Arabidopsis thaliana: one gene and its partners. Each later gene encodes a partner of the first gene's protein in a complex. Each region holds a gene or a part of one and is shown on either strand. Other genes may lie near its edges. The genes, in order: NdhT, PnsL1 and PnsL4.

Region 1 (3,656 bases):
GAAATTTGCTCACATTGAAGCCTCGCTAAAACAGTTCATTGAGACAATGACAACACAAGCCATGTTCCAAATCAAAATGTGATCGACGACATTTAGTACTTAACCGTTGACGTCTCAATTTGGGTTTCCAGTGAAAGGCTTATAGTGCTTAGTGTGCAGACAATTTTGGCTTCTTCACGTGCTATCACCCTTCATTTACTCAAACTAGTCTGAAAGAACAACAAAATCCTTTATCACTTCATCTAGTTCTATTAGCTTATGTGCGTTTGTTATGCGGATGGACTGAAGTTTGCTTGATAAATTATGCTTCATGTTTTTCTTTTGTCATGGGACCATTTATAGTCTTTTGATTATACTCTTAAACTGTTTTCATTTTTAGTGAAATATTTACATCTTAGGAAAAAAAGAAAAAAAAACGTAGTCAAAATGTGCATCGAACAGTTCTAAGGAACACGTCTAAGGAGGATTGAGTCAGGTGCTACATATATATAAGACTTGATAAAAGGGTATTGTTGCAAAAGGTAGTGAAAAAAGGGTAGTTTTGCAAATCTCCCTAGTTTTTATTCCTACTATACTTCCCAAACTAGTGAATTCCGCATTAGTTATCAAAACTACTATTTTGTTCGCTTTGTTTTATATAAATGAGACTATTTGGATTAGCTAGGTAAGCATAACAAAATATAGCTCTAAAACAATGTTTGGATAGCTTAGAAAAAATCCAAAAATAACACACACACAAAAAAGGTGAGGAACAGAACCACTAGACCACTTTATTTTAGTTCAAATGATCTTATAATCTGTAATTGTTAATCTTCCATCTACATATAAACTATATGAATTTTCCAAGTATATACAAAGCTCCTTACCTAGTAAGAAGGATCTTTGAAAACAATCACAAAAGCTATACAACAAACAGCGAATAATACGATCAAAATATCGAACGTGAGAGCAGTCATTGCTTGATCACTAAGCTCCATGTTTCTTCCACCTAACCGGTCAACCATATCAGGTATTGATTCATAGCCCCTAAAATCTTGCTCTTTCGGATCCTCTAGCTTCATTCTCATTTTCTCAGCTTGACGACTCGCAACTTCTTGAGCCAGTGTCCAGTCATAAAACCTCCGAGTCTCTTCATCGCTCAAAACATTGTACACTTCTCTTAATTTCATGAACTTTTCTGAAGCTGTTTTAAGTGGTAGTGAAGTTGTATCTGGATGATACTCTTTAGATAATCTCCGGTACGCAGATTTTATCTCTTCTAGATCAGCATCCGTTGAAACACCTAAGAATCTGAAAATGATTATTGTTACATGTTACAATACATATTGAAAAATAAAAATAAAAAGATATGTAATGAGAATGTTTGTTTTGCTCACTGGTAATGAGAATCAAAAGAGTCTTTGATTAGTTCTGCAAATTTTTCGTCACTAAGGAGATTGGTTTTGTCCTCATCAACCGATTTGGCCGGGTCGGATCTTCCTCCGATCCAGCCTTCGTCCGGGCTTTCCCAGTGGATTCTTGTGTCTACTCCTGGAGATGGTTTTGACGGTTTAGTCGGGCCTTGTGACGCGTATATACGCGTCACTCTTCTTGCTGTTATCCTTCTAAATGCTTTCGTGTCATCCGTGAAATGCGCGCCGTTTTGGATTTTGGGTAGGATAATGCATGAGGTTCGTGCATAGGTAGAAGTTGCATAAGCCATGGCTCTGTGTTGAAGATGGTTTGTTCTTTTTTTTTCTGCCCTTCATGTTTTTGGTTTCTCTTACCGCAGAAACTTGTTCCAGAACCTCATGATATGTGTGGTGTAGATTTTCTTTATATCTTTTGTTGTCCTATCTAGTGTCCATAGGAACAAAAAATTTAAATAATTAAATGTCAACAAAAAAAAAGTATGAAACGTAAAGATATAAGAGACAAAACGTTGAGAAGAGAGGGGCAATGAGAGGAAGAAATAATGTAGAGATAAATGATTTCTTTCTTTGGAAGCGATGTCTAAATATGTTATGCAACAAATGTGTGCGTTTGTAATATATATAGGGTAAAAATAGACAATTGTATCATAATTAGGATATGACCCGCGATATACCGTAAATTAAATTTATTTATTTATTTTTCTTTATCACAAAATATAATTTGTTGTTTGTTGTTGTTTGTGATGATTAATAATTATCGATAAGGTTGTGTATGTTTTTTATTGAGTCACAATTATGATATTAATAAGTCTAATATATGTTATTTTATCTTTTAGGATTTGACTTGTGATAGACCATACCACGGGATAATATTTTATTTTATTCATAATTTGTTATAAAAAAATTATTTAATATAAACTTTTGGTGTTTTCAAATTTAATCCATGGAACATATGTAGTTTAGTAACTTTATATTAAAATTACACATTTAAATGTATCAAAGAAGAATAACATTTAGAGGTGTCAAAGAAGATTAACACTTATACTAAAATGTTGATTTTATTTATTTTTTTGTAACTAAAAATTTGAAATTAAAATTGTATTTGTTATGTTATTATTGTTTGTTTTGTTTACTATTGTATAGTTGTAATTTGATTGTTAATTCTAGGAGTACACCCGTGGTATCCAAATTTTTCCCATCTAAACTCATAGCACCATATAATCTCGTCTCATCCAAACCCGTCCTACCATGTAAACTCGTCTCCTGTAAACCCGTCCCGCCATATAAATCCGTCCCGTGATAACTAAAAATCAAATTGTTCTTTTTCTTTTTAATAATATTTTTATTTAATATACTTCGAGTCGGTTTACAATTTCAATTTAAAAAGAAAAATTGTATAATATATTGAAATTTTAACAATTTCAATCTAATAAGAATCAATATCGGATCGTTTCGAAGATTTTATATCGAATTCTTTGAACAAAAAATAACACAATTTCTTGTTAAATATTTTGTATCTTTTAAATTAATGTATTTCCTATTTGTATATTTTATATTCAATATATTTGGTTTTGATATAAATTAGAAAATCCGTTTAAATAATTATTAAAATTTGAATCCCGAAGATATTTATGTGATTTTTTATAATTTAAAGATTGTTGTTGAGATTTTTTAGTGTCTATTTTTTGTTGCATTTATTTGTTTGCAAGGTCTATCATAATTAAGGTGAAGTTACAAAAAGATCTGTAAAGTATAATATCGTTCACATATTGATTATAGAATTATTTAGATTATTTTTAAAAAGGAAAAAATTACAACATATGCCATATTTTTTCCAATCCTTATGCAATCTGCCATAATTTGCTGGGCCTTACAACTCATGTCATATTTCATACTGAAATATCGATTTTGTCCCTCTCCATTTCTTCTCTATTTTATCTCTCCTTCCTTGAAATCTGTGCGCTTTAACCATATATTATTATCTTCCCGAAGATGAAGCGCTTTTGTCACTCTCTCACTTTCTTTGACAACCTGCACAGATTCTTTACATGTAACTTTCAATTAAATTTGTCTCTCAATTTTATTCATCACAATATTTCTGTTGTATCTAGATCTTGTCCTTGATTTCATCATTTTTTACCATCTATTTTGGTCCACAGATTAGTTGAGCATTATTGTTTTCACCGACACGATTTTTTTTTCTTCTATTGTAAAACAACAAAAATATTCAGTTATTACATATTA
Region 2 (3,759 bases), on another chromosome or scaffold:
TTAAACGACCCCGTGACATGACATGGTTATGAGTCACATATGTGCCCTCTCAAACTCTATTATGTAGTATAAAAACTGTATTAGATACAACCGACCCAAGATATAGAAGAACCTTTGAAAAATGGTAGAAGCCAGTTCAGCTAAAGCTTTCTTCTTCACAATTATCGTAAAATATTAGACATGTAGAGCAGGCTTGTTGTTCTCTTATTGTCAAGCGTAAGTAAATGATTATTGTTTAGTTTCGTGACCAATTGGTTTGTTTTTTGGTTAGCCATTGTTCGATTTGCTTTGGTTTGGTCAAAGATTGTATGCTTTCAAGTCAAACCAAAGCTGACTAAATTTTATTCTGTAATAATTTACTTTGGAATGGCAAAACCAAAGAAAGGTCATAGACACAAGAGAAGAAGCAAATATGTTTCTTACGCCAAAAGACACGTTTGTATGGTAAGACAAAAGACACGTTTGTATGTTTCTTACGCCAATACCATTACGTTAAAAATAAACTAGTAACTTAAATTTACGCTCACTTTCTATTTGGGTTTTACATGATGATTTTGGTCAAAGGCCTATTTACAATGTTGCAAGCCCATATTATCTTTTAAGTATCTTTTTGTGCAACCAAAAGAATCAGTGATCTTATGCTCATTTTCATTTTTTTCTAATGAAATTTTTCGTCACTTATGGCTTATGCGTCCGATGGACGATTATGGTAAAAGGCCCATTTATTCAATCCAAAGCTTACTGGGTTAGATGATGATTGTGGTAAAAAGGCCCATTATAGACCCAACTAAGTATCTTAGGGTTTCAGTTTCCACTATAAAACTTGTTGCGGCGTAAGTTAGGGTTTTGAGAATCAGCGGCTTCACCTCTCCAGGTTCGTGTCTCGATTTTGCAAACTATCTCTCGAAATCGTCCTACATTTCTTTCTTCAGATTCATTACTGAGCTTCGCTTTCTGGGTTTCTATCTAAAAATTTCACAGATTTCGTGTGTGAAGAATCATTTCAAGCCATGTCTCCGGCTAAAGGTACGATCTTTTCATTGATAACCACTTGAATCTTCACTGGAACATGATGGATTTGGATCTTCTTCTACTAGACTTTAGTTTTGCTGAACCCGCTAGTATCTGGTCTCGATTAATGTTTTCTAATCATGTTTCGTTAGGTGATTAGTTTCAATATCTTCCTGATTAGCTTCAACTAAGTGAGATTAATGTAGTATCCAAATGAATTTTGTCTGTAGACGTGTTTCTGAGTATTCATGTATTGAAGTCAGATTTGTATCAAAGTATTATATGATGCTTAAACTCTCTGTTGTATGTAATTTGCAGTTGATACTACCAAGAAGGCTGATCCTAAGGCCAAGGCCTTGAAGGCGGCAAAGGCTGTGAAGTCTGGTCAAGCCTTCAAGAAGAAGGACAAAAAGATTAGGACCAAGGTCACCTTCCACAGGCCAAAGACTCTTACCAAGCCTAGAACTGGTAAGTACCCAAAAATCAGCGCTACTCCAAGGAACAAGTTGGATCACTACCAAATCCTTAAGTACCCACTCACCACTGAATCTGCGATGAAGAAGATTGAAGACAACAACACTCTTGTTTTCATTGTTGACATTCGTGCTGACAAGAAGAAGATTAAGGATGCTGTTAAGAAGATGTATGACATCCAGACCAAGAAAGTGAACACACTCATCAGGTACTTTAAAGAGTATTTTTCTATGAAGCCTTGTTGTGAGATTGATTATGTTCAATATATTTGACACTATGGTTTGGTTTTGTTACAGGCCTGATGGAACCAAGAAGGCTTACGTGAGGCTTACACCAGACTATGATGCTTTGGATGTTGCTAACAAGATCGGCATCATCTAAGTCTATCTATCTCTGCAGTTATAAAGACTATTGTGGTTTTGTCTCTTGTAGTCTCAGTTTTGCTTTTAAGATATTTATTATTACTATCATCTGGTAATTGTAGTATTTTGGAGCAAAAACGTTTTACAATACATTCATGTTGCAGTTTATTGTTGAATTCAAGTTCTATGTTTTTGACTTATCAAGATTCTCTTTTTAAAACTCACTAACTTATAAACTGTAAACATACAAATGCAGTATCTTCTCTAACCAGTAAATGATCATAAATCGATCTATCACCACATATTGTTTGCATCTTTCATTATCCTTTTATCCACATGTTGATGAATGGAGAAGTCCGAGAAATGACGAAAATCAGAAATTTCTTATCCACATAGAACACTAAGGCAATGTTCATTGATCATCAAAAGTCTTGTGAATTGTAGCCACTATGGCAGTCTCCTCACTCTCAATCCGCTGTGGTGGTTTCTCACCAACAATCTCCCACAAGGTTAATAACACTGTTCTGATTCCAGTCTCCATTTCTGAAAACTAAAAATCATTATTGTTCATTGATTCATATTTCTTACCAGACAGAAATTCTCTGTCCAAATCCATCACTCAAAGCTTGTTGTTTACTTTCATCCGGTGGTAAGGCCGACTCCTCGGAGAGTAGTAAGAAACTAAACTCTTGTGACATTTTCCTTCTCATACGTAATACATTGACTTGTGTGGATTGATTTTTATTAAAATTCAATAGCTTACCAAAAAGGCAGCGGAAACAATTGGAAGAGAAGGCAAGCTCTTGTGGGAGTAGGAACTTTAGTGGCAACTTCAATTCCAGCAACTTTGCTTCTTGCTGAAGGTAATCTGCAAAACTAAGGGTTTTGTTTTTGCCTCTCTTCTTCATTCTTTTGGGACCAAAAGCCTAATATGTTGATTCATATCATGTTTGCAGAGATACCAAAAAGCTACTCGCCTTTTGTGGATCGAGAAGACGGGTATTCTTACTATTACCCATCAGACTGGAGGGTGGGTAATGGCTTTGTTTCCATTTTTGTTGAAAGAATGAAACATAAATGAATTGAGAATATCTCTGTTCTGCCCTTACTACGTAGGAATTTGACTTCAGGGCACATGATTCAGCCTTCAAAGATAGATACTTGCAACTGCAGAATGTGCGGGTCAGGTTCATACCAACGGAGAAAAACGACATCCATGAAGTAGGTCCTATGGAAGAGGTATGTATTACACACCTTACTTTCCCTCTACCATCTATGTCATTAGAGAATTCACATTGGTTCATCATTCTTATATATGTTCATCAGGTGGTTTATGATCTAGTGAAGCATAAGTTTGCAGCACCAAACCAAGTAGCTACCATCTACGATATGAAAGAGGTCAGATGATTGTTAACATCTTAAAGAATCATCAAAGTTGTTGAGAGATTGGATCTTTATAAACAATAAGAGATGAAAATGCAGAGGGTGGAAGATGGAAAGAACTATTACACGTTTGAGTATGGACTAAGAACTCCTATCTATGCAACCACTTCCTTTGCAACAGTGGCAGTTGGAAACAGTAAGCACAGATTATAAGAATTATGAGATAGATGAGAGAAGAAATTGAGGAATAAACAAGTGTTATGACTGATTTGATGTTGCAGACAGATACTACACTCTCATAGTTGGAGCAAATGAGAGAAGGTGGAGGAAAGTGAAAAAGCAGCTTCAAGTTGTGGCCGACTCTTTGAAGATCCTTCAGATTTGACAAACACAAGAAACATCTTACTCCTATATATCTTTCTCTCTCTGTGGTTACAAAACTGTCTGTAGATAACAATTTGATATTTTCATATTCTCTATAACTCCAACGATGGTTTTGGCATTGTGAGTTAGATTCTGAGTTGGTTCA
Region 3 (3,759 bases), about 12 Mb from region 1:
TGTCATCTATACCCACGCCGCAACAAAACCATCGCAACCTCCTCCATTTCGACCATAACAACAACAACTCTCTAATACCACCAAACTACTTTAACAACAACACGTTCTTACCCGTAAACCAACAACCCGACCCGATTTCTCAACTCGACCTCCGAACCTCCTCCGCCACGTCATCACTCCCTCCTACTAACAATATAGGAGTAATCAAGAAAACAAAGAAAAGATCTCGAGCATCAAGAAGAGCACCAACGACGGTTCTAACGACGGATACTTCCAACTTCCGAGCGATGGTTCAAGAGTTTACCGGAATCCCAGCTCCACCGCTATTCAACAACAACTCCATCGTGAACACCACGCGCCTCAACACTTTCCTCGGCTTGTCTTCTTCTTCGCCAAACACTTACAACACCAACAATCTCTTGTTACGACCGTTTGCTCAAAAACTCACTCCAGCGACTCCTCTCTTATCCGGATCACAAATTCAGCAATATCAAAACCCTAACAACGGTTTCGAGGATATGAATCTGCAAGCTCTTCTTCAAGCTCATATTTCAAACCCTAGAAGCAATGAGCACGATCAGTTTGGTCTTGGTATGATGCAGACTCCATCTACTAATCCTCCTACTACAACGGCAGCGGCTAACGGGAACATAAACACCGGTGATAATGGAAGCTACGGTGGCTCCGATCATGAACATAATAATGACGGTACTTGGTTATCTTCGTCTTCCGACCAGAGAACATAAATATATTTATGTATAGTCCAAGTCCGAAATCAAAGCTAATCTCTTGACATGATTACTCAACAAATTAAACATAGCACATATAGCATGATGAAGTTACTCGTTTATATATTCTATATTTCAGTATAAACCACTTTAAAACTTTTTTCGTGTAGGGTTTGTTAATTATTTAATACTTAATTAATATGCTTGTTATTTGTTAATCTTAGTTTTTTCCATAACTATATGTTGGTAAGTATTAGTTAGTAGATGGATCTCACCATTTGAATCAGATTTTCTTGGTATATTTTCTTATAATTATATAGAACTTTTAAATTTTAATGACAACGATGACTTGCGATATGAAATTTTAATTTTTCAACAATCAATATACAGTACGTGGTTTTGGGATCACTACGGTTAATATTTCTCCTAATTAATATTGGAGTGAATGGTGGCGAAATTTGGGGAATCTTCCACGGCCGCCGGATTGTGGAATATGGTTTTGGGACCATAGTATATAATTATTAATTAATTATAGACTTGTGGTGATTTGAAATTTGATAAATTACTGTTCTCCCATGTGCTTATTCATTTTTGGTGTATCATCTACATTAACGTCAATTTTTATTGACTTGACTCTCATTTTACCATACCAACAGATTTGAAATTTGAAAATTTCCCAAGCAAAAGAAAAACAGGTAATCAATAATGATAATTATACATACATTTTGGTTTTGACCTACTTTTGTCATATGACAATTTATCTTTATAGACACTTTTACTTCTATTATTATAAGTCTCTTTGTTTGTGAATAGGGGCAAATTTCATTTGACCGCCTCCGACAACCATTGACCTTGTCACGGCTCTGAATGTGATGCGTCTACAAAATTCCTAACTTTTTTCAGTCTTCTCATTAACCAATCAATCGTTAGAATATTCAGCTTAATTTATATCTCTTTCTAGTCTCTAGCTTAACAACACTTCAGAATGAAATGTCAGTTCTTTGTAAGCGGGGTTTTCAATAATATCATTTGCTACTGTATAGTATAATAGTAACTCTTAAAAATAATAATTCTTGTTTTTCACAATAAGATTTGATGATGGATTGATGGTCGCAAAACAAATAATGACATTTGATGAAAAATCTTTTGCTTGTTCTTGTGTATACAAAAGTTCAAATGATTTTGATATTTTTTTGTCCACGGACCAGTTACACTTAAGTCACCAATGCACTGTATAACCTATACACATCACTTACATAAACTATCAACAATGTGCATATATGTGTATCTCTATCTAAATGGAATATATAATAATGGGTGATGATGATGGTTTAATATTATGGTGGTGGTTATGGTGGACCATGATATCAAGCTATTGTCGCACTGATGGGTTTTCTATGTATTCAGATGATACTCGGTTTCATAGTTGAGTGATAACTAGGTCTGGCCATTATCTTACTATCCAAATAATTCGATTCGGGTTCTCAATTTTGTGGGCCGATTGGCTCCAAAAGTTTCATTATTATTTTTGTTCTGTTGAAAATAGAAATCCAAAAAAATACGGGTGGGTCCCATAATCATATCCATTGTACCGTTGCACACTCAAAAGACAAAAGATTCAGACCAAAGGCTCTGGCTTCACGCAGATAAGGAAGCAGAGATCGAAACGAAGACTCAAAGAAGAATGGCGATTTCTACTTTAACACTCACACAATCTCTCTATACACGTTCCTTCAGACCAACCATCTTCTTTTCTTCTTCTTCTTCCTCGTCCTTTTCGTGTCTCTGTTCTTCTTCCTCCGATTGCGAGCCGAAACTCTCCGTCAAGAAACGCGTTTTCGGAGTGGGTTTAGGGTTCCTAGCTTCTTCGATTCTCTCTCTAACGCCTCTGGACGCAGACGCCACGAGGATTGACTACTACGCCACTGTAGGAGATCCTCTCTGCGAATACAGCTACGCAAAATCAGGACTTGGATTTTGCGATCTCGATGTTGGATTTGGTGATGAAGCCCCTCGTGGCGTACTCGTCAATGTAATCTCTCCATCTCTCTAATTTCCTCTGTTTAGGGTTTTTGATTCAAAGTTTGAGACTTTGGAGAGTTGGTCACACACACACAGATCCATTACACGGCGAGGTTTGCAGATGGAACGTTGTTTGACAGTAGCTATAAGCGTGCAAGACCACTTACTATGCGAATTGGAGTCGGCAAGGTACAACAAAGAACCATTGTCTCTCTCTCTCTTTGTTAGCTTCCATAGTCTTCAATTGCATTGCTAGCAAAGTTCACACTTGTCTTTGTTGAAGTTAGTTAGTTTCTTATGTTCTTCTTTGTGATTAGGGTGAGCAAAACAACTATATATCTAAACTCTTGATGTCCAAAAATGATCAGGTAATTAGGGGACTAGACCAGGGGATTCTTGGAGGCGAAGGAGTACCTCCTATGCGAGTAGGCAAGTGTACTGTATTTTCCTTTGTTCAATGTCCTTTATTTGGCTGATAACATATTGGTGCGGTTTTATTTTGCAGGCGGAAAGCGTAAACTTCAGATTCCACCTAAGTTAGCTTATGGACCAGAGCCTGCAGGATGCTTTTCTGGTACTTGCACAATTCCTCTGTAACAGTTTCACTTGTATATGTAAGATATGTATCTCGAGTAATAAATCGACTCTTTATGCAGGTGACTGCAACATACCTGGCAATGCAACTTTGCTCTATGATATCAACTTTGTTGAGATCTACCCAGGAAGTAATACAAGATGAAGCCAACTCCAATCCCGTTTGGTAAAGGAACAAACAACTATGTATGTGATGTATATCACCAGGTGATTACTTTTGACAAGCTTCAGATTATAATTTCTGTAACCTAAAACATTGATGATTTCCAACTGAATCCAATGTCTAACCTCCTATTAAAGAACAAGACACATCTTCTCTGTGCAGATCTGTCTTTTTGTTAAGTTATGACCTTGGAAAATCATATACTTGCATAAATGTATAAGCGCGTGTTAGGTTAGATTCAGTCTTGGTAAG

The links.
Region 2: NdhT (region 1) and PnsL1 share a complex: the UniProt entries of both Arabidopsis thaliana proteins name them as parts of the chloroplast NDH complex.
Region 3: NdhT (region 1) and PnsL4 share a complex: the UniProt entries of both Arabidopsis thaliana proteins name them as parts of the chloroplast NDH complex.

What each region holds. Positions count from the first base shown.
Region 1 is NC_003075.7:5,930,451-5,934,106, forward strand, and holds NdhT (Chaperone DnaJ-domain superfamily protein), read right to left. Parts: upstream 2,026-3,656; 5' UTR 1,703-2,025; coding exon 1,377-1,702; intron 1,291-1,376; coding exon 867-1,290; 3' UTR 660-866; downstream 1-659. UniProt on the Arabidopsis thaliana protein: NDH shuttles electrons from NAD(P)H:plastoquinone, via FMN and iron-sulfur (Fe-S) centers, to quinones in the photosynthetic chain and possibly in a chloroplast respiratory chain.
Region 2 is NC_003071.7:16,474,039-16,477,797, forward strand, and holds the start of PnsL1 (PsbP-like protein 2), read left to right. Parts: upstream 1-2,159; 5' UTR 2,160-2,296; coding exon 2,297-2,356; intron 2,357-2,438; coding exon 2,439-2,520; intron 2,521-2,605; coding exon 2,606-2,710; intron 2,711-2,803; coding exon 2,804-2,877; intron 2,878-2,963; coding exon 2,964-3,086; intron 3,087-3,173; coding exon 3,174-3,245; intron 3,246-3,329; coding exon 3,330-3,426; intron 3,427-3,511; coding exon 3,512-3,615; 3' UTR 3,616-3,759. Other genes in the region: RPL23AA (ribosomal protein L23AA), read left to right, coding at 1,011-1,026, 1,330-1,693, 1,782-1,866. UniProt on the Arabidopsis thaliana protein: NDH shuttles electrons from NAD(P)H:plastoquinone, via FMN and iron-sulfur (Fe-S) centers, to quinones in the photosynthetic chain and possibly in a chloroplast respiratory chain.
Region 3 is NC_003075.7:18,426,979-18,430,737, reverse strand, and holds the start of PnsL4 (FK506-binding protein 16-2), read left to right. Parts: upstream 1-2,159; 5' UTR 2,160-2,412; coding exon 2,413-2,760; intron 2,761-2,846; coding exon 2,847-2,939; intron 2,940-3,118; coding exon 3,119-3,179; intron 3,180-3,255; coding exon 3,256-3,324; intron 3,325-3,406; coding exon 3,407-3,489; 3' UTR 3,490-3,759. Other genes in the region: AT4G39720 (VQ motif-containing protein), read left to right, coding at 1-708, 1,385-1,423, 1,542-1,558. UniProt on the Arabidopsis thaliana protein: NDH shuttles electrons from NAD(P)H:plastoquinone, via FMN and iron-sulfur (Fe-S) centers, to quinones in the photosynthetic chain and possibly in a chloroplast respiratory chain.